Linked DNA regions of Rattus norvegicus. The protein of the gene in region 1 purifies or fractionates together with the protein of each later gene. This does not show direct contact. Links are inferred from orthologs where the notes say so. Each region holds a gene or a part of one and is shown in the gene's direction. Other genes may lie near its edges.

Region 1 (5,018 bases):
GCTCTTAACCACTGAGCCACCTCTCCAGCCCCATACACTCTCATGAATATACAATGCAGAGACAAGTTTAATCCCCACAACGACATCCCAGTCACTGGCGTTCCTATTGTTTAGTTGTGAAAATTTTATTTTTTATGTGTGAGGTGGGTGTTTTGACTGCCTGCATGCCTCTTCACCACATGCATATAGTGCCCGTGGAGGCCAGAAGAAGGCCTTGGATCCCCTAGAAGTGGAGTTACAGGCAACTGTGAGCCGTCACGTGAGTGCTAAGAACTGAACAGAGGTCCTCTGGAAGAGCAGCCAGGGCTCTCTTAACCATTGAGCATATATTTTTTTTTTTTTTTTGGTTCTTTTTTTCGGAGCTGGGGACCGAACCCAGGGCCTTGCGCTTCCTAGGTAAGCACTCTACCACTGAGCTAAATCCCCAGCCCCCATTGAGCATATTTTAATGTTGAACAAAAAGCCAGGTATGATGGGGCAGGCCTTTTATCCCCGCACTGGGGAGACAGGTGAAAGAGGCAGGCAGTTTCTGTGAGTTCGAGGCTAACCTAATCTCTACAGCTGTGAGTTCCAGGACAGCCAGGGCTACTAAGAGAAACCTTGTCTCGAAAAACAAAAACAAAAGTTGAAAAAATAATTCTGGATGTGTGAACATTACATGAAACTCAAACTCTCGAGTCCATCAGTTAAGTTTTATTGAAACTCACTCGCACTAATTAGTTTCTTGGCTGCTTTCCTTTCAGCGCAGTTAACACTACACACATATTAACACTTCCCCAAACTAAATAGCTGTCATAAACCCTTGCCGAAAGTTTGTCTGGCTCCTGTTTAGACCACTGTATTATCCTGTCTCAAAAGTAAAACAAACAAGCAAACAACAACAAATGGCTAGTATCAGAGTCGCAGGTGCCATGGAGGTACTGAAACAGGTAATAAACTGCAGGGGGAAGGTACTTTCTGAAGAACGATGGCGGAACATTCCCTCTGAAAAATTGACATCGAAGCTGAGGACTGAGTGAGGACGTTGAGGGGAAAGAGTGTTGCAGGTTTCCCAAGGGCAGAGAGTCCTTGACGCGGGAATAAACACTACCTATAAGTTTCTGCTTGTGTAATGGATGAATGTGCAAAGCAATGGACTTGAAGTGGACGGCGATGATTGTGAAAGAAAAAGTCTTTATAGATTTTATCACAGAGGCCTGAATCCCTGCTGTGGGGGCGTGGTTTATAGGGGAATAGAGGGCGCTACAAAGGCTTTGTGCTCAACCTATTGAGTCTCCCGTAAGGATGGTGCGGGCGCCTCAGCGTAGCGGTCTGGTGGGCGGGAGTTTGTTGGTGAAGGCAGGGGACCACGCCGGGAAGACCAGATCTTACCCCAGATCATTAAAGATTTTAAACCCCCATGTAAGGCTTATTATCGCCTGGCCCTAGCAGAAGTAGCGGGTGCCGGGAAATGGGAGCCGAGTGTGGGAAGGGGCAGGGGTACTGGAGCTGGCTGGGAGGCGGGTGTGGCTGCGGAGCAGAGAGACCCGGGCGCCGGGCGGAAACGCTACTCGGGCTGCTGGAGGAGCCCCCGCCTCTCAGTAGGCTGTCCCCGCCTCCTCCAGTCCCTCCACTCCCCAAACCCAGGAAGGCGGTGCAGGTTTCGAGCTGTGCTTTCGCTTTCCCTTCCCGCTGCCCACCCCAGGCTCCGCGTGCGGCGTTCAGCCCCCGGCTCTGGCCATGGCTACACTGAGGGTCCATCCTGAAGCCCAAGCCAAGGTGAGCGTTGCGGGTTCGAGTGGGGACGAGAGGCTTTAGAGAGGCGTGGCTCAGAACGAACCAGAGTTCTAGGGAAATCGATCCACAGACCCCCACTCCCACCCCTACCCCCCCGCACCTGAGTTGGGGGTCCTGCTCCTTAGCCTACTGCCAGAAGCACCTGATCCCCTGGGAGTAGGTGAGGTGGCCGTGGTCCAGTGGGGTGAAGTGAAGCCTAGAGCTAGTGTGAAGTCTGCTGGCTTGCAGCCAGGGCTACACGCACAAACCTGGAGAGGGACTTGCCCTTGCCAACTCAGACTTTCCCTCAGAAAGGGCACACACCGGCACCCTCTCTGCCTACTGTCTGGTGGTTCTGTTTTGTTTGAGACGGGCTGTGTATTATGTAGCTCTGGCTTTCCTGAAATTGGATATGTAGATCCGACTGGCCTTGAACTCCCAGAGATCCACCTGTCTGTACCTCTGGAGTGCACGCCTGGCCAGAGGGCTTTCTTATCACTCCTTGCACAACCATGGTGGCCCCAGAAATGTTATTATCTCCAAATTCAGCCCCCTTGGGGATCCACTGAACTCTCCCCAGATTCCGGTATGCCTAAAACTACCATACCACCTCAAGCCACCATATATAGGGACCCATTTAGCTTTCTTCAGGTGTGGCCTTAGAGGGCTCCATTCCTCTATTCCCCAGGTCAGGCCCTACACCTAAAGGGAACTGTCCTCAAAAGAACTGGCCTTAAAGCTAGGTTTCTGAAGGGTTGCCTGCCTGTACTCTACAGGTGGATGTGTTTCGTGAGGACCTGTGTAGTAAGGTAAGACCTACAACATCGGGAACCCCACCTCCACCCAGCACCTACGACTCTGGCCTCCCTCGCTGGGCGCTGTGACCCCTTACTTCAGTGCCTTGGAAAGGGTGTTTGCTTCTGACCCTATCCTCCTCCACTGCCTTACACAGACAGAGAACCTGCTTGGGAGCTATTTTCCCAAGAAGATCTCAGAGTTGGATGCCTTCTTAAAGGTAGTGGGGCCCCCGGCAAAGACTCAAGAGGATCCCGGGGGTGGGGGTGGGGTGAGATGAGGGGAATGCACTCATCTCCCGCCCCACTGCCAGGAGCCAGCTCTCAACGAAGCCAACCTGAGCAATCTGAAGGCTCCATTGGACATCCCAGTCCCTGATCCCGTCAAGGAGAAAGAGAAGGAGGAGCGGAAGAAGCAACAGGAGGCAAGCTGGCTGGGACACCTGGGAGGTGGGCCAGCCAGAGAGAAAATCAGCCTCAGTCCTGTCTTCCTCCCCACAGAAGGAAGAGAAGGACGAAAAGAAGAAAGGGGACGAAGACGACAAAGGTACTAGAACCGATGGGCTGGGAAGAGACTGGTGTCTCAGGACTTCCAAACTGCCTTCTACTTTCCCCTTTCCAAATCTTACACACTCCGTCATTCACTGACCCACTGCGCACTCTCCAGGTCCTCCCTGTGGTCCAGTGAACTGCAATGAGAAGATTGTGGTCCTCCTGCAACGCCTAAAGCCCGAGATCAAGGATGTCATTGAGCAACTCAACCTGGTGAGCTCTTCCACCCTCAACTCTGCTCCAGGCATTGTCCTCTTGGTCCCTGCCAGTTATTTCATGGCAAAGCAGGTGGCCCAGACTGGGGCTCAGCAAGGACCTGGCATCCCACCATCCGCTTGTGGGCAGACAAGGGAAGACTAGGAACCTGGGAATTAGGGTACGTATACGGAGGGGAGGGAAGGACATGGTGATAAAGCCATGATGCATTCCTTTGCTCCAAGGTTACTACCTGGTTGCAGCTACAGATACCTCGGATAGAGGATGGGAATAATTTTGGCGTGGCTGTCCAGGTGAGAGCACTGTCCCCCTCAGTCCTCAGCCCCCCTGTGCAGCCAGCCCGTGCTTCCTCCCAACTCTGCACTTTCCTTCTCAGGAAAAGGTGTTTGAGCTGATGACCAGCCTTCATACCAAGCTGGAAGGCTTCCAAACGCAGATCTCTAAGTGAGTGGCCTCGCTCAGTATACAGCCAGCACACTCTGCTTTGGGCACAGGCCTGGGCTCCCTCCGTCTCTCCCCACTCTTTACAAACTACTTCCACTTCCCACAGGTACTTCTCCGAGAGGGGTGATGCCGTGGCCAAAGCAGCCAAGCAGCCTCATGTGGTAGGTAAAGCCCAGGTCAGGCTGTGTCAGGGAAGACAATACGATTTCCAGTCAGGACTAACTCTTAGAGTTTCTGCAGGGTGATTATCGGCAGCTGGTGCATGAGCTGGACGAGGCGGAATACCAGGAGATCCGGCTGATGGTCATGGAGATCCGTAACGCTTATGTGAGGAGGGGAGAAGAGGGCAGGGGTGGGCAGAAGCACTTTTCCCAGGCCATCCAATTTCTGACCAAGCCAATGTGGGGTGGAGGATGACTTAAGAACAGCCTTTCCAAAGGTAGAGATGGGATACAGAACTACTGGGGGCCTGCGGCTGACCTCCCCTACTCTGTGATCCTATAGGCTGTGTTATATGACATCATCCTGAAGAACTTTGAGAAGCTCAAGAAGCCCCGTGGAGAGACAAAGGGGATGATCTATTGAGCCCCCTCTCTCGTTCTATGATGGGTATAACAGAAACCTTCCTACTCTTGACTAGGAACTCTAGACTGCACCCAGTCTTCTTCCTGCTGGGGTCTCCTCCCTCACTCTGCCTTCCAAACACAATAAATACATAGTTGCCCACCAGCCCACGTCTTTATTGTATTTGGACCCCTCTGGCTTAGGCATGTCCATCGGTGGAACCACTCCATTGAGTGATTTGAGTGTTGAGCCGCTGGTTGGTCCAGTCCTGCCGAATGTCATCAAGGTGGCAGTCAAAGTCCACAAGATGCTGGTGGGCCCGGCCCTCCAGCAGTGCTCCCACCATCTGCCGTGACTCCTCCCAATCTCTCCACATCACTCTGAAATTTAAAACACGGATGTCAAACAGTGGGGCCAGACAGCGACTTAAAGATTGTGTCTGGAGAAGCCATAGGGCAGGACCAGGGACAAAGAAAGCCACAAGTCTTGGGCTTCCAAGGGACAAGAGGTAGGGGGGCACTCACAAGTTCTTGTCCTTAGGCACCCACTGAAGACCCTGGTTCTCCAGGACAATGACTGGAGGTACACGAGGCCAAGTTACCAGTTTCTTATTATCCAGCTGGGTGAACAAAAGGCGAGAGTCTTGAGGACCCTCTCCCACTCCCTCTCCACCTCCCCACTCTGAAGCCCCGG
Region 2 (5,263 bases), on another chromosome or scaffold:
GGACAAGGTCTCTTGCTGAACTCAGAGGTTGCAAGAAAATAAAGTTTTCCTTTTTTTTTTTTTTTTTTTTTTACCCACAATCAGCTAGAGTTGTGTTCAGTGTTACACACCTGTAATCCTAGGATTTGGGAAGCTGAGACAGGAAAGTTGCCTTGAGGTCTAGGACAACTTAAGCCGCATGGTTCCAAGCCAGCATAGGCTAGAAGTAAGTACTTGCACTAAAAACAAAACCAAGAACTAGATTTCCCCTTCAGATAAATATGGCCCATTACCCGACTTCTTCCTCCACCCTATGCATTCCCCTTCATGAAGGTGTAATTGACAAACAGCAGTTGCTTACATTTACAATATAAAAAGTGATGTTTAAAAAATTATTTCTGAGACAGGGTCTCTCTACAGAGCCCTGGCTGACATGGAACTCACTAAGCATACCAGGCTGGTCTTGAACTCAGAAAGATCTCCTGCCTCTGCCTCCTGAGTGCTGGGATTAAAGGCACTATCACACCCAACCCAGAATGATATTTTTTAAAAAGACTTTTAAGTGTGTGTGTGTGTGTGTGTGTGTGTGTGTGTGAAGTGTGACACATATATAGGTGCCAGCAGAGGCCAGAAAAAGGCAGTGGAGGATCCCCTACAGCTAGAATAAAAGGTGGTTATGAGGAGCCTGACCAGGATGCTGAGAACTGAATTTGGGCATCTAAAAGGGCACCAGGTGCTCTCAATTGCTAAACTATCTCTCCAGCCACCAGAATTATGTTTTGATGTATGTATATATCATGATTAAATTAACTTTCAATACCTCTTGCCTTTTTGGGTAGTGATTAAAATCTACCTTCCTAGAAAAATTTCAAGTGTAAGATATTATTAACACTAGTCATCCTGGTGTATATATATCTCCACTTACCTGAAACTTTGTACTCTGACCGTCCTATATACCCCACACCTGCCAAGACTGTGCAGAGGTTTATACCGGTTACATTCCTAGAGAGTCACTTCTTAACCTCCTATCTTTCTTTGATACATGATTCATTTACGATGTTTCTAAAAAGCTCTCAAGTTGCTCTTCTACCCTTAGGAAGAGGAAACAGGAAGCACATACAAAAAAGAAGGTACTTATTCTTCTTGAAAAAACAGTGGCTAATCTAAATCTCGGGGCCTGAACTCTGGGTCTTCGGGTCTCAAACTTGGATAGCTACGGTGGTAGTGGTGGTATGTGTATGTATGTATCCAGGAAAGACGTGGTAAAATAATCTTACCTATGCAGGAAATTGAAAAACGTTCTTGCAGATTAGAACCTATCAATTTTTTTTTTTGTTGTTGTTCTTTTTTTCGGAGCTGGGGACCGAACCCAGGGCCTTGCGCTTCCTAGGTAAGCGCTCTACCACTGAGCTAAATCCCCAGCCCCCGAACCTATCAATTTTTAAAACTTTTTTTCAATCAGCCCGGTTGACAGAATCGCGGGGCACGCTGGTCCAGACTGCACTGAGGCGCACACATCTCTACCTAAGTCAAAAAGTCCTCAGCAAAGCTGGTTCCGGTTGCCACAGAGCCGGGAAGACAGCGAAGAGTTGGGCAAGTGAACGCGGAGTAAGAGACTGGTGTCCCTCGGCTGCAATCACGCGAGTCGGCGAGACTTACGTCACGATCCCTACAACCAACTACCAGTCCCAGTCTTGCAGCAGTTCAAAACGCGACGAGCGCACACCTCTGCGAGGTTCACTCCCACCAGTTGCCTCAAGTCCCAGCGCCCGTAGCAACCAAGGGTGCCGGGAAGCGGAAGTGCATTCTAATTCCGCCCTCCCAGTTAATCCAGGTGAGGAAGCTTGTCAGCCCAATCATTGCAGCGAAAATATCTATCAGCCAATAGAACGGAGACACGGGAGGGCGGGCTAAAAAGGTCGCGTGCGCACGCGCAGAGGGCCGCAGGATCCTTGGTGCTGTGGCGGTGTGGTTGAGTAGGGTGCTGCTTTCAGTCGTGTGGCCTTTGGGAACTCCGCGTAGCCACTGCCGCCTCCTCCTGTCCTCGCCATGTTCCTCACTCGGTCCGAGTACGACAGGTTCGTACAGCGAGAAGCAGCAGGGTCGAGATTTGGGTGGGCGGGCCTGGGCCCGGGCCGCGGCCTGGGTTCTGCAGTGTCATGGGGCACCCGGGTAACCTAAGTCTGGCGGGACCCGGGGAATCTGGCTCCCGAGGCGCCCGGCGAGATTGCCCAAGCTAGACTGGAGCGGACCCGTTGCACTTGTGCTACCGCTGAATCACCGCTACTTTTGACTCCGCACGGAAGCGAGAAGCTGGGGCTGCTTGAGGCAGGCGGCGGAGAGGGGTCCGGACTCCAACCTTTAACCTGAAGTAGATTAGGGACTCACCAGCCTTGTGTTCGTCTTTTCAGCCTAAGTATGACTGCTTAAAAGAATAATGAAATGAGTTTCCTCGAATAGAAAGCTACCAGAGACTATTGAATGAGTTTGTAGGAATCCGTGCTATGCTGTACATTTTAGTCTTTTTTTAAAGCGCGAAGGCAGTTACAGCTATTATCTGATACATTGCCTGAAGTCTGGTTTTATAGGAACTAGAATGTATAGTAGTTCTCAGAAGAGTTTTAATATGCTGATCCCATTTGACCAAAGAGGGGGAAAAATTGAGAGCAAGTTAATTTTTGTGTTGTGTTGAAGGCTAAATGTTTTGTAAAGGCAAAGCTTTGTGGTTGTGTTTATTTAAAAAAAACAACCTAAAAATCAAGTCTTGAAAATGCTAACTAATAACTGTCATAAATGCTGTGGATACTGTAACTTTCAGTTTCTGTTTTGAGTAGTTTTGCAAGCCGCTGAGTTCCTTTAAAAGTTAGGGAAGGCAGACTTTTTTTTTTTCCAGGTGGTATGAGAAATCACTTTTCTTGGCAAGTATATATCGAGGCTGTCAAAATTGTGGCACCTGGAATGCCATTTTTTAACCTTTTGCTGACTCAGAAAATACAGTTGAAGTTTTAAAACTATTTCCTGTTGTCAAGTAAAATGGTCGTTAACACTTGGCTTCCAGAGCATTGAAGGGAGTCATCTTTAGGTGATAAAATTTTGAGAAAATCGTGATCCTCACCCGAAGGGCTTTATTGAGCTTTGCCCATTTATTTATATGTATTAGTTGCTTTGTGGATTTTTTTTCTTTTGTATCTGCCAAGACTAAAGTTCAGGCCTCTATTTATCCAATGTTCTTGATCTTTCGCTCAGTACAAGGAGCATTGTTTAGGGAGCTGGTTTTACAGCAGTGAGCAGAACCAAGATTCCTGCTCTCCTGTTTGCTTGTGTAACTAATACGAGACAGAAGTGTATTGATGTTACTAGAGGAATCTTAGGCCAGCAACTGGATGTTCTGATGAGAGGTTGCATTCATCGTTGGAGGTTGGGGAAAACTTCACAAAGAGGCTGATAATTCAGATAGGCCCAGAGCAAGTAGGATTTTTAGTAAACCAAGACCACGAGACCCAACAGATAGTAAAGGAAGAACAAAGGAGGACCAGTGGAAAGACATAACACACATTTGAAAAACGTCCAGGCTGACTACCACATTTGTATGATGCATATAATGGGACTAGTAGGTGCTATGGAAAAACCAGGATACTGACAGCTCGGATAGACTGTTAAGAATTTGGATCTCACTCTGTAGGCAACTGTGTGCCATCAGTTTTCTTTTTCTTTTTGGCCTTTTTTGGGGGTTGGGGAGACGTCCATGTACATGCCTGGTGTCCTTTGAGGCCAGAGGGTGTTGGATCTCTTAGAGCCGGAATAACAGGTGGGTTTTCGCCACTATGTAAGTGCTGGGAATCAAACCAGCATCTTCTTCTGAAGAGCCCCTAGTGCTCTTAACTGCTCTCCCAGCTCACTAGCTCTCTTTTTTTGGTCTTTTTTTTTTTCCTTTTTTTTTTCTTTCTTCTTAAAAAGACAGGGTATCTCTATAGCCCAGGGTGACCTAGAGCTAACTGGCCCACCCAGTCTGGCCTTGAATTTGTGAGGATCCTTTCTGCCTGATTGATTGTTCTGAGTTCTGGAGTTAACACTCATGAGCCACTGTGTCAGACTCTAGTGTTTCCTTTTAAGAAGTTACCTCATCACACTTGTTTTTATAAAGATTAATTGATTGGAAGAACAAGTTGGCTTCCTTTAAGAGGCTTTTACAATAGTTAGGTAAAGGGTAACGAGGCCGTAGGGATGGAAGTGATGGTACCATGGAGGAGGAGCATATGAGTTAGTATGACTTAGCATGTGGTAGGATAAAGGAGATGGCAGGGAGAAGTGAGTCATCATTCAGAACATTCTGTTATGGAGGAACTCAGAAGCTGTGGGTGTCTTAAAATAATGGGAATGGTATAGGTGAGTTGATTTTACAGAGTGACTAGATTTAAAAGGTACTGTTTAAGACTGGAAAATGTTGAATGATGGTTGTAATTGGGCTATTCAAGAGGAATTGTTTCAAATTTAGATTAATTAGGTAAAAGGCAAACTGGAACTAGAAATTTAGAATGACTGGTTTTAGTTTCTATGCAACATCTCAAGTAAGCAATGAAATTTGGGAGGATGAAGACAGAGCTTACTAGGATGGTACTTCCAAATCAGGGTACAAAAAAATTAGTCACATAAGTTTATAGGGTTCTTTCACTTTTCTGTAGTTTACTTAAATTGTCATAAAGGCAAGGACAATTTCTTATTTTTCCTCAAAGCTAGTGATAAACCTGGTTCTCAATCTCAGGATGGGTCAGTTTTAGTGCGTGTGTGCGTGGTGTGTGTGTATGTGTAACCTGGGGCTTATATGCAGTGGGCAAGAGCCAGAGCTCTACAACTGAACTGGTCCCCAGCTCAATCTGAGATTTTCTGACCGCAGTTTTCCTTTCACTGAGTTTGTCAGCTGTGCTTTAGAACCTTGAACTTCCTTCTGGATGGCTTTAGTGATCTGTTGGTTGAGGAGGGCATGAGGAACTGGATGGTGAGAATAATTCTCAGACTGTGAAGTAGAATAGTTGAAAGCTTTGTCTACATAGGCTTTCTTGAACTGATTCTGCTTCTGTTTTGCTAAGTAACTTTGAACTATTTATTTGATATCTCTCACACATACAATCTCTTTTGAAGAAAGTTTTGGTTAAACAAAATTTGAAAACAGTGGTATATGCATACTGTTGTGAGGTTTAGAGTTCATGAACTAAGGATTACAGGTATTTATATTCATTTATCCAGAAACATTTTTTAAATTGTAATTGTGTGCTGAAAGCTTCTG
Region 3 (5,172 bases), on another chromosome or scaffold:
CCACGTGTGGCCTGAAGACCACGTGTTCATTTCCACACCAAACTTCAACTACACAGGCCAAGACTTCGAGCGTTTTTTTGCAGATCTTCATTTTGAAGAAGGCTGGCACATGTTTCTACAGTCTCGTGACCTACTAGCAGGCCTCCCAGCGCCTGGTGTAGAAGTATATTGTCTATACGGTGTAGGCATGCCCACAGCCCACACCTACATCTATGACCACAACTTTCCCTACAAAGACCCGGTGGCTGCACTCTATGAAGATGGGGACGACACTGTAGCCACACGTAGCACTGAGCTCTGTGGCCAGTGGCAGGGCCGCCAGTCACAGGCTGTACACTTGCTGCCCATGAATGGGACAGATCATCTCAACATGGTCTTCAGCAATAAGACACTGGAGCATATTAATGCTATCCTACTGGGTGCCTACCGCCATGGCACTCCTAAGTCCCCAACCGCCAGCCTAGGTCCCCCCACCAAGGAATAAAGACTTAGCTGTTATGAATAAGTGCAGTGTGTTCTGGGTAAGGGGAAGGCGGCCTCACCTGCCTGATTTCATGCATCATCTGACCCAGCTCTTGGGGGAGCATGAGGTACAATGGGCTCTGGTAAGGTCTCTGACTGGACTGACAGGGTGAGATGTGTAAATAGATTTTCATTGTCCTGGTTGAGCTGCTAAGAAGCTTGCTCTGTGCCTTCCTTCTCAGGACCTGTGCCAATATTCAGGTCTGGGTATAGCTGTTGGAATGGGAACACAGAAATATGATTTGAAACCAACTTCTGAGTTCTGGTTGGATACAGAAATTTAAAAATAGAGTATGGTGGTGCACGCCTTTAGCTCAGCACTTGGGAGACAGAGACAGGCAGATCTCTGTGTAGGCTACTCTGATCTACATAGTTCCAGGACAGACAGGACCACTGAGACCCTGTCTCAAAAACACAAACAAATAGAATTTGAAATATGGCAGCTGGGGCTGGGATTGTTAATGTAAGAGCTTGGATTCAGCACTAAAGATGAAAGGGGCCTGAGAGATAGCTCAGCATCCATTGAAAGAAGCTGTTTTTCCAGAGGACCATGGTTCAAGTACCAGCACCCACATGGCCGCTCAAAAGTGTATGCAACTCCAGCTTTAGGGGATCTGACACCCTCACAGACATACAGGCAAAACACCAATACACATATAAATAAGTCATACAAAATTTAAAAGTTTAGAGCCAGGTGGTGGTACACATGCCTTTAATCTCTTCATCCAGGCTAACCTTGTCTACCAAGCTTGTTCCAAGACAGACAGGGCTACACTGAGCTACGCTGAAAAAAAGTTTAGGATCTGAAGGAATGACCGTTCATCTAAAGAAGGTTTCATTTGGGACTTTAGAGAGATTGAGAGCTCAGAAGTTAAGAACATTTCTTGCACTTGGAGAGGACCTAGGTTTTGTTCCCAATGCCCATATGGTGACTCACAACCATCTGTAACTTCAGTTCCAGGGAATCTGATGCCCTCTTCCAATCTCAGTGGGCCCCTGGCATGCACATGCCACATTCACTCATACACATAGTTAAGCCTCAAAAGGCTTGATTTCTACTTATTTTTAAGGAGTTGGCTGTGTGCGTATTTTTCCTGAATATACGCATGTGCTTACAGTGCTCGGGGGTGTCAGATGAGATGGAGACAGAGGGACTAAGGCGCACTGTGGAAGGCCTGGCTCAGGCTCAAGCCACCTGGGACTAGAAGCAAAGGCGAAAGTGAAAGAGAAGATGCACAAAGCATAAGCAGCCTCTGAACTAAGTGGGGGGTGAAAGCGAAAGTAGGAAGCGACCCGAAAAGCCCCACAGAAGCCACGACAGACGCCTCTGCTCTGACTTTGCTTTTTAAATCTGATCCACCCATCGAGACCCCCGCATCTCAGTTGGCCTTCCTGCCCGGAGATGCTGAAGCAGGCAGTGGAACACAGAGGAGGCTTCTCTTTCGAGAACTGCCAGAGGTGAAGGGGAAGTGGAATTCAAGTCGCGAGCTGCTAGTGCCTTGTTTTACTGGTGGAGTGGGGGGAACCCTATCCTATGTTGGGTGACCAAGTAGAGGCTTAACCCAGGAGATGAGGAAAGTAGACATGGATTCGGGGACGGATTCAAGGACCCTCCCTAGATTCATAACTGAAATGAGAGCCACCTCAATGTTTCCAGGAATGCGTCCTTGGAACACGTCCTTCCGGGACTTCGGGTCCCTCTTGCACGCAAGACCGGGACTACCATCGCCGGACTTGTGTTCCGTGTAAGCGGGGTTATAGGGCTGGAGGGCTAGAAGGGCAGCCACTGCGAAGATCAGGTGGGCATTAAGGCTGGGCTCTACCTCTGCAGGATGGAGTCATCCTGGGTGCGGACACGCGGGCTACTAACGATTCGGTTGTGGCGGATAAAAGCTGCGAGAAGATCCACTTTATCGCCCCCAAAATCTAGTCAGTATCTACCGGGCCAGTCCCCATATTCAAACATAAGTTGCACTGTCGCTCACGCCTAATTATGTCCCTGCAAGTTCCTGTCCACATCCATAATCCCTTTTTCCCTTAGCTGCTGTGGGGCTGGAGTAGCTGCGGACACTGAGATGACCACGCGGATGGCAGCTTCCAAAATGGAACTACATGCTCTGTCCACCGGCCGTGAACCTCGAGTGGCCACGGTCACCCGTATCTTGCGTCAGACGCTCTTCCGGTGAGGAAGTGAGGCTAAGACGACCCTTAGAGGGGGTATCTGCAGATGGGTGGGGATGACAGGAGGTGAGACCGGAAAAAAAAAAAAAAGCGGGATGCAACCAGCAGGGAGACCGGAAGAAGACATCAAGCTGAGTTCCGGAAGAGACGTCAATTGTAGGCCGCCTGGCCAAAGGAAGGGGTGGGACTCAGACCAAAAAGCAATATAATGGGCGGGGTCTGGCTCCTGCTGACAGTAACCATGCCCACTCTTCCACAGGTACCAAGGCCACGTGGGAGCATCATTGATCGTGGGCGGGGTTGATTTGAACGGACCGCAGCTCTACAGCGTGCACCCACACGGTTCCTACAGCCGTCTGCCTTTTACTGCCCTTGGTGAGCGCTTCCACCTTTTTCAAATGAATCTTGCTCCTGCAACCCTACTTTCAAGGTTTATACCTCAGCAGCTGCAGCTGACTTCAGATGCCCCTTTCCACCTGCAGGCTCTGGTCAGGATGCAGCCGTGGCACTGTTGGAGGACCGGTTCCAGCCAAACATGACGGTGAGCGACTTCTGCCCATTACTTCACGCTCACTGGCGGGGAGTGCCGGAAAAACCCTGGCCAAGTATAGAAACAAGGAAGGCTTGTAGGGGTAAAGGTGACTACTGGGTAGGAACTGAGTAAAGTTGAAGAAGTGAAGTCCAGTCAATAACCAAGCTTAGGCCACAGAGAGAAGCTGAAGCTCACAGCAGATTACTGAAGAGCCCAGTGGGGTTCTGTAGTAGGTTTGAGATCTGTACTTTGGAGTGGGATAGAAGTGGGTAACTGTGCTTCAGAGATAACCAAGACCCACGGAGAAACTCGCGACAGAGTGGGTGGGCAGACTGCTGGAAGGAAGGCTATAGGTGTAAGCGACACTGAGAATTTTGTACAGAGGACAGTGGGTGGAGGGCACAGAGTCTTTCGGGAGAGGGGGTCAGAAGCCAAGGGACTGGAATTTTGAATGGAGGGAAGAGAAAGGATGTTGAGCTTACATAAAGAGCAACTTGTCTAGGCTTCGAGCTTAAGAAAGCCCCCAGGTTAGAGTGAGGTAACACTAGATTCCATTCAACCTCATTCCCACTACCACAGCTGGAGGCCGCGCAAGAGCTGTTGGTGGAAGCCATCACAGCAGGGATCCTGGGTGACCTAGGCTCTGGAGGCAGTGTGGATGCCTGTGTGATCACTGCAGGAGGCGCCAAACTGCAGAGAGCTTTGAGCTCACCCATAGAGCCTGTGCAGAGGTAGGAGCAAGGGAAGGGAGGGCCGTGTGTGTGTGTGTGTGTGTGTGTGTGTGTGTGTGTGTGTGTGTGTGTGTGTGTCTGCTGTCTGTCGGTCGGTCGGTCTGCCAGAACAGAACAGGCTGCGATCTAAAAGGCTGGCCCTCCTCCCTTCTAGAGCTGGCCAGTACCGCTTTGCTCCTGGAACCACACCTGTCCAGACCCAGGAAGTGAGAGCTCTGACCCTGGAACTTCTGGAGGAAACTGTGCAGGCTATGGAGGTGGAGTAAAGTGGCCTAAGATGTAGAGTTTGGAACAAGGGTGAATAAATCCAGGAGATACAAACACTTAAACAGAAGACTGTCTTTCTTGAGAGGAGTGGGACAAGCCAGCTTTGAGGCTGAGGAATCCCTCTCAGGACTTCATTCTCAGTTCCTGGCCTGAGCTGCTCTTCATCGCCATCTCAGAGATCAATCCATGCAGAATCCCAGCCCTAGCAGGCACTACAAGCTTTGGAGTACAAAGCTATATCCTGTCATCCCCAAACCATAGTTCCACATGGTGGAAGCTTACCCCACAAGTCCCGTCTTGGAAGGCACGGACAGACGACCCCCACTGTTAAACTTTCCTGTCTTTTTTTTTTTTTTTTTTTTGGTTCTTTTTTTTCCGGAGCTGGGGATCGAACCCAGGGCCTTGCGCTTCCTAGGCAAGTGCTCTACCACTGAGCTAAATCCCCAACCCCAAACTTTCCCTGTCTTGTCAATAAACACCTATGTCCACCGTCTACCCTGGGTCCTTAGGAGGCTAAAATGCTAATAGAGCAACTGCTTCCTGACTCCACGGGCAAGTTCTCACCAAGTGCCCTTTACCACCTACAGTTCCCCTCTTTATGACCAAACATGTGTGAGCCTGTGGAAGGCTGGGCCTTGTCCGCACATGTGGGACTGTGAGTAGGGAGATTGACTCCCAAGTTCTCTAGGCTGGAAGGGGTGGTTGTGGACTCATAGGGAAAGATGACACAGCTAAGTAAGAGGCCTTTGCTAAGGTTGCCTGGCAAGGTTTCTTCACTGAGTGCCAGGCCCTCTGGGTGCTGGTAGGAGCATCCTGCCCTCACGGTAGCTAAGCTCCACTGGGGCTTCAGAGCTGATAAGGCACATTTTCTAGAGAGGTTGACCTCCAGGCTGGACACCCTTGACCCCTGGTTGTATGGTCCCCCTAAGACTTTATCAT

Evidence for each region.
Region 2: the proteins of Psme1 (region 1) and Psma5 purify together in Homo sapiens (co-immunoprecipitation; 5 studies listed by BioGRID and IntAct, with this or other methods). This does not show direct contact. The link is inferred for Rattus norvegicus from reciprocal best matches to the Homo sapiens genes PSME1 and PSMA5.
Region 3: the proteins of Psme1 (region 1) and Psmb10 purify together in Homo sapiens (affinity purification with western blotting; 3 studies listed by BioGRID and IntAct, with this or other methods). This does not show direct contact. The link is inferred for Rattus norvegicus from reciprocal best matches to the Homo sapiens genes PSME1 and PSMB10.

Annotation. Positions count from the first base shown.
Region 1 is NC_086033.1:33,037,360-33,042,377, forward strand, and holds Psme1 (proteasome activator complex subunit 1), read left to right. Parts: upstream 1-1,611; 5' UTR 1,612-1,719; coding exon 1,720-1,758; intron 1,759-2,531; coding exon 2,532-2,564; intron 2,565-2,707; coding exon 2,708-2,770; intron 2,771-2,863; coding exon 2,864-2,974; intron 2,975-3,050; coding exon 3,051-3,096; intron 3,097-3,216; coding exon 3,217-3,314; intron 3,315-3,541; coding exon 3,542-3,610; intron 3,611-3,693; coding exon 3,694-3,761; intron 3,762-3,867; coding exon 3,868-3,922; intron 3,923-4,001; coding exon 4,002-4,088; coding exon of another isoform or gene 4,089-4,178; exon of another isoform or gene 4,179-4,265; coding exon 4,266-4,346; 3' UTR 4,347-4,488; downstream 4,489-5,018. Other genes in the region: Emc9 (ER membrane protein complex subunit 9), read right to left, coding at 4,525-4,705, 4,850-4,944. UniProt on the Homo sapiens protein: Implicated in immunoproteasome assembly and required for efficient antigen processing. The PA28 activator complex enhances the generation of class I binding peptides by altering the cleavage pattern of the proteasome.
Region 2 is NC_086020.1:198,582,604-198,587,866, forward strand, and holds the start of Psma5 (proteasome subunit alpha type-5), read left to right. Parts: upstream 1-1,901; 5' UTR 1,902-2,028; coding exon 2,029-2,057; intron 2,058-5,263. UniProt on the Homo sapiens protein: Component of the 20S core proteasome complex involved in the proteolytic degradation of most intracellular proteins. This complex plays numerous essential roles within the cell by associating with different regulatory particles.
Region 3 is NC_086037.1:50,739,931-50,745,102, reverse strand, and holds Psmb10 (proteasome subunit beta type-10), read left to right. Parts: upstream 1-1,810; 5' UTR 1,811-1,924; coding exon 1,925-1,980; intron 1,981-2,179; coding exon 2,180-2,267; intron 2,268-2,353; coding exon 2,354-2,451; intron 2,452-2,563; coding exon 2,564-2,704; intron 2,705-2,962; coding exon 2,963-3,078; intron 3,079-3,185; coding exon 3,186-3,244; intron 3,245-3,814; coding exon 3,815-3,966; intron 3,967-4,120; coding exon 4,121-4,232; 3' UTR 4,233-4,295; downstream 4,296-5,172. Other genes in the region: Lcat (phosphatidylcholine-sterol acyltransferase precursor), read left to right, coding at 1-484. UniProt on the Homo sapiens protein: The proteasome is a multicatalytic proteinase complex which is characterized by its ability to cleave peptides with Arg, Phe, Tyr, Leu, and Glu adjacent to the leaving group at neutral or slightly basic pH.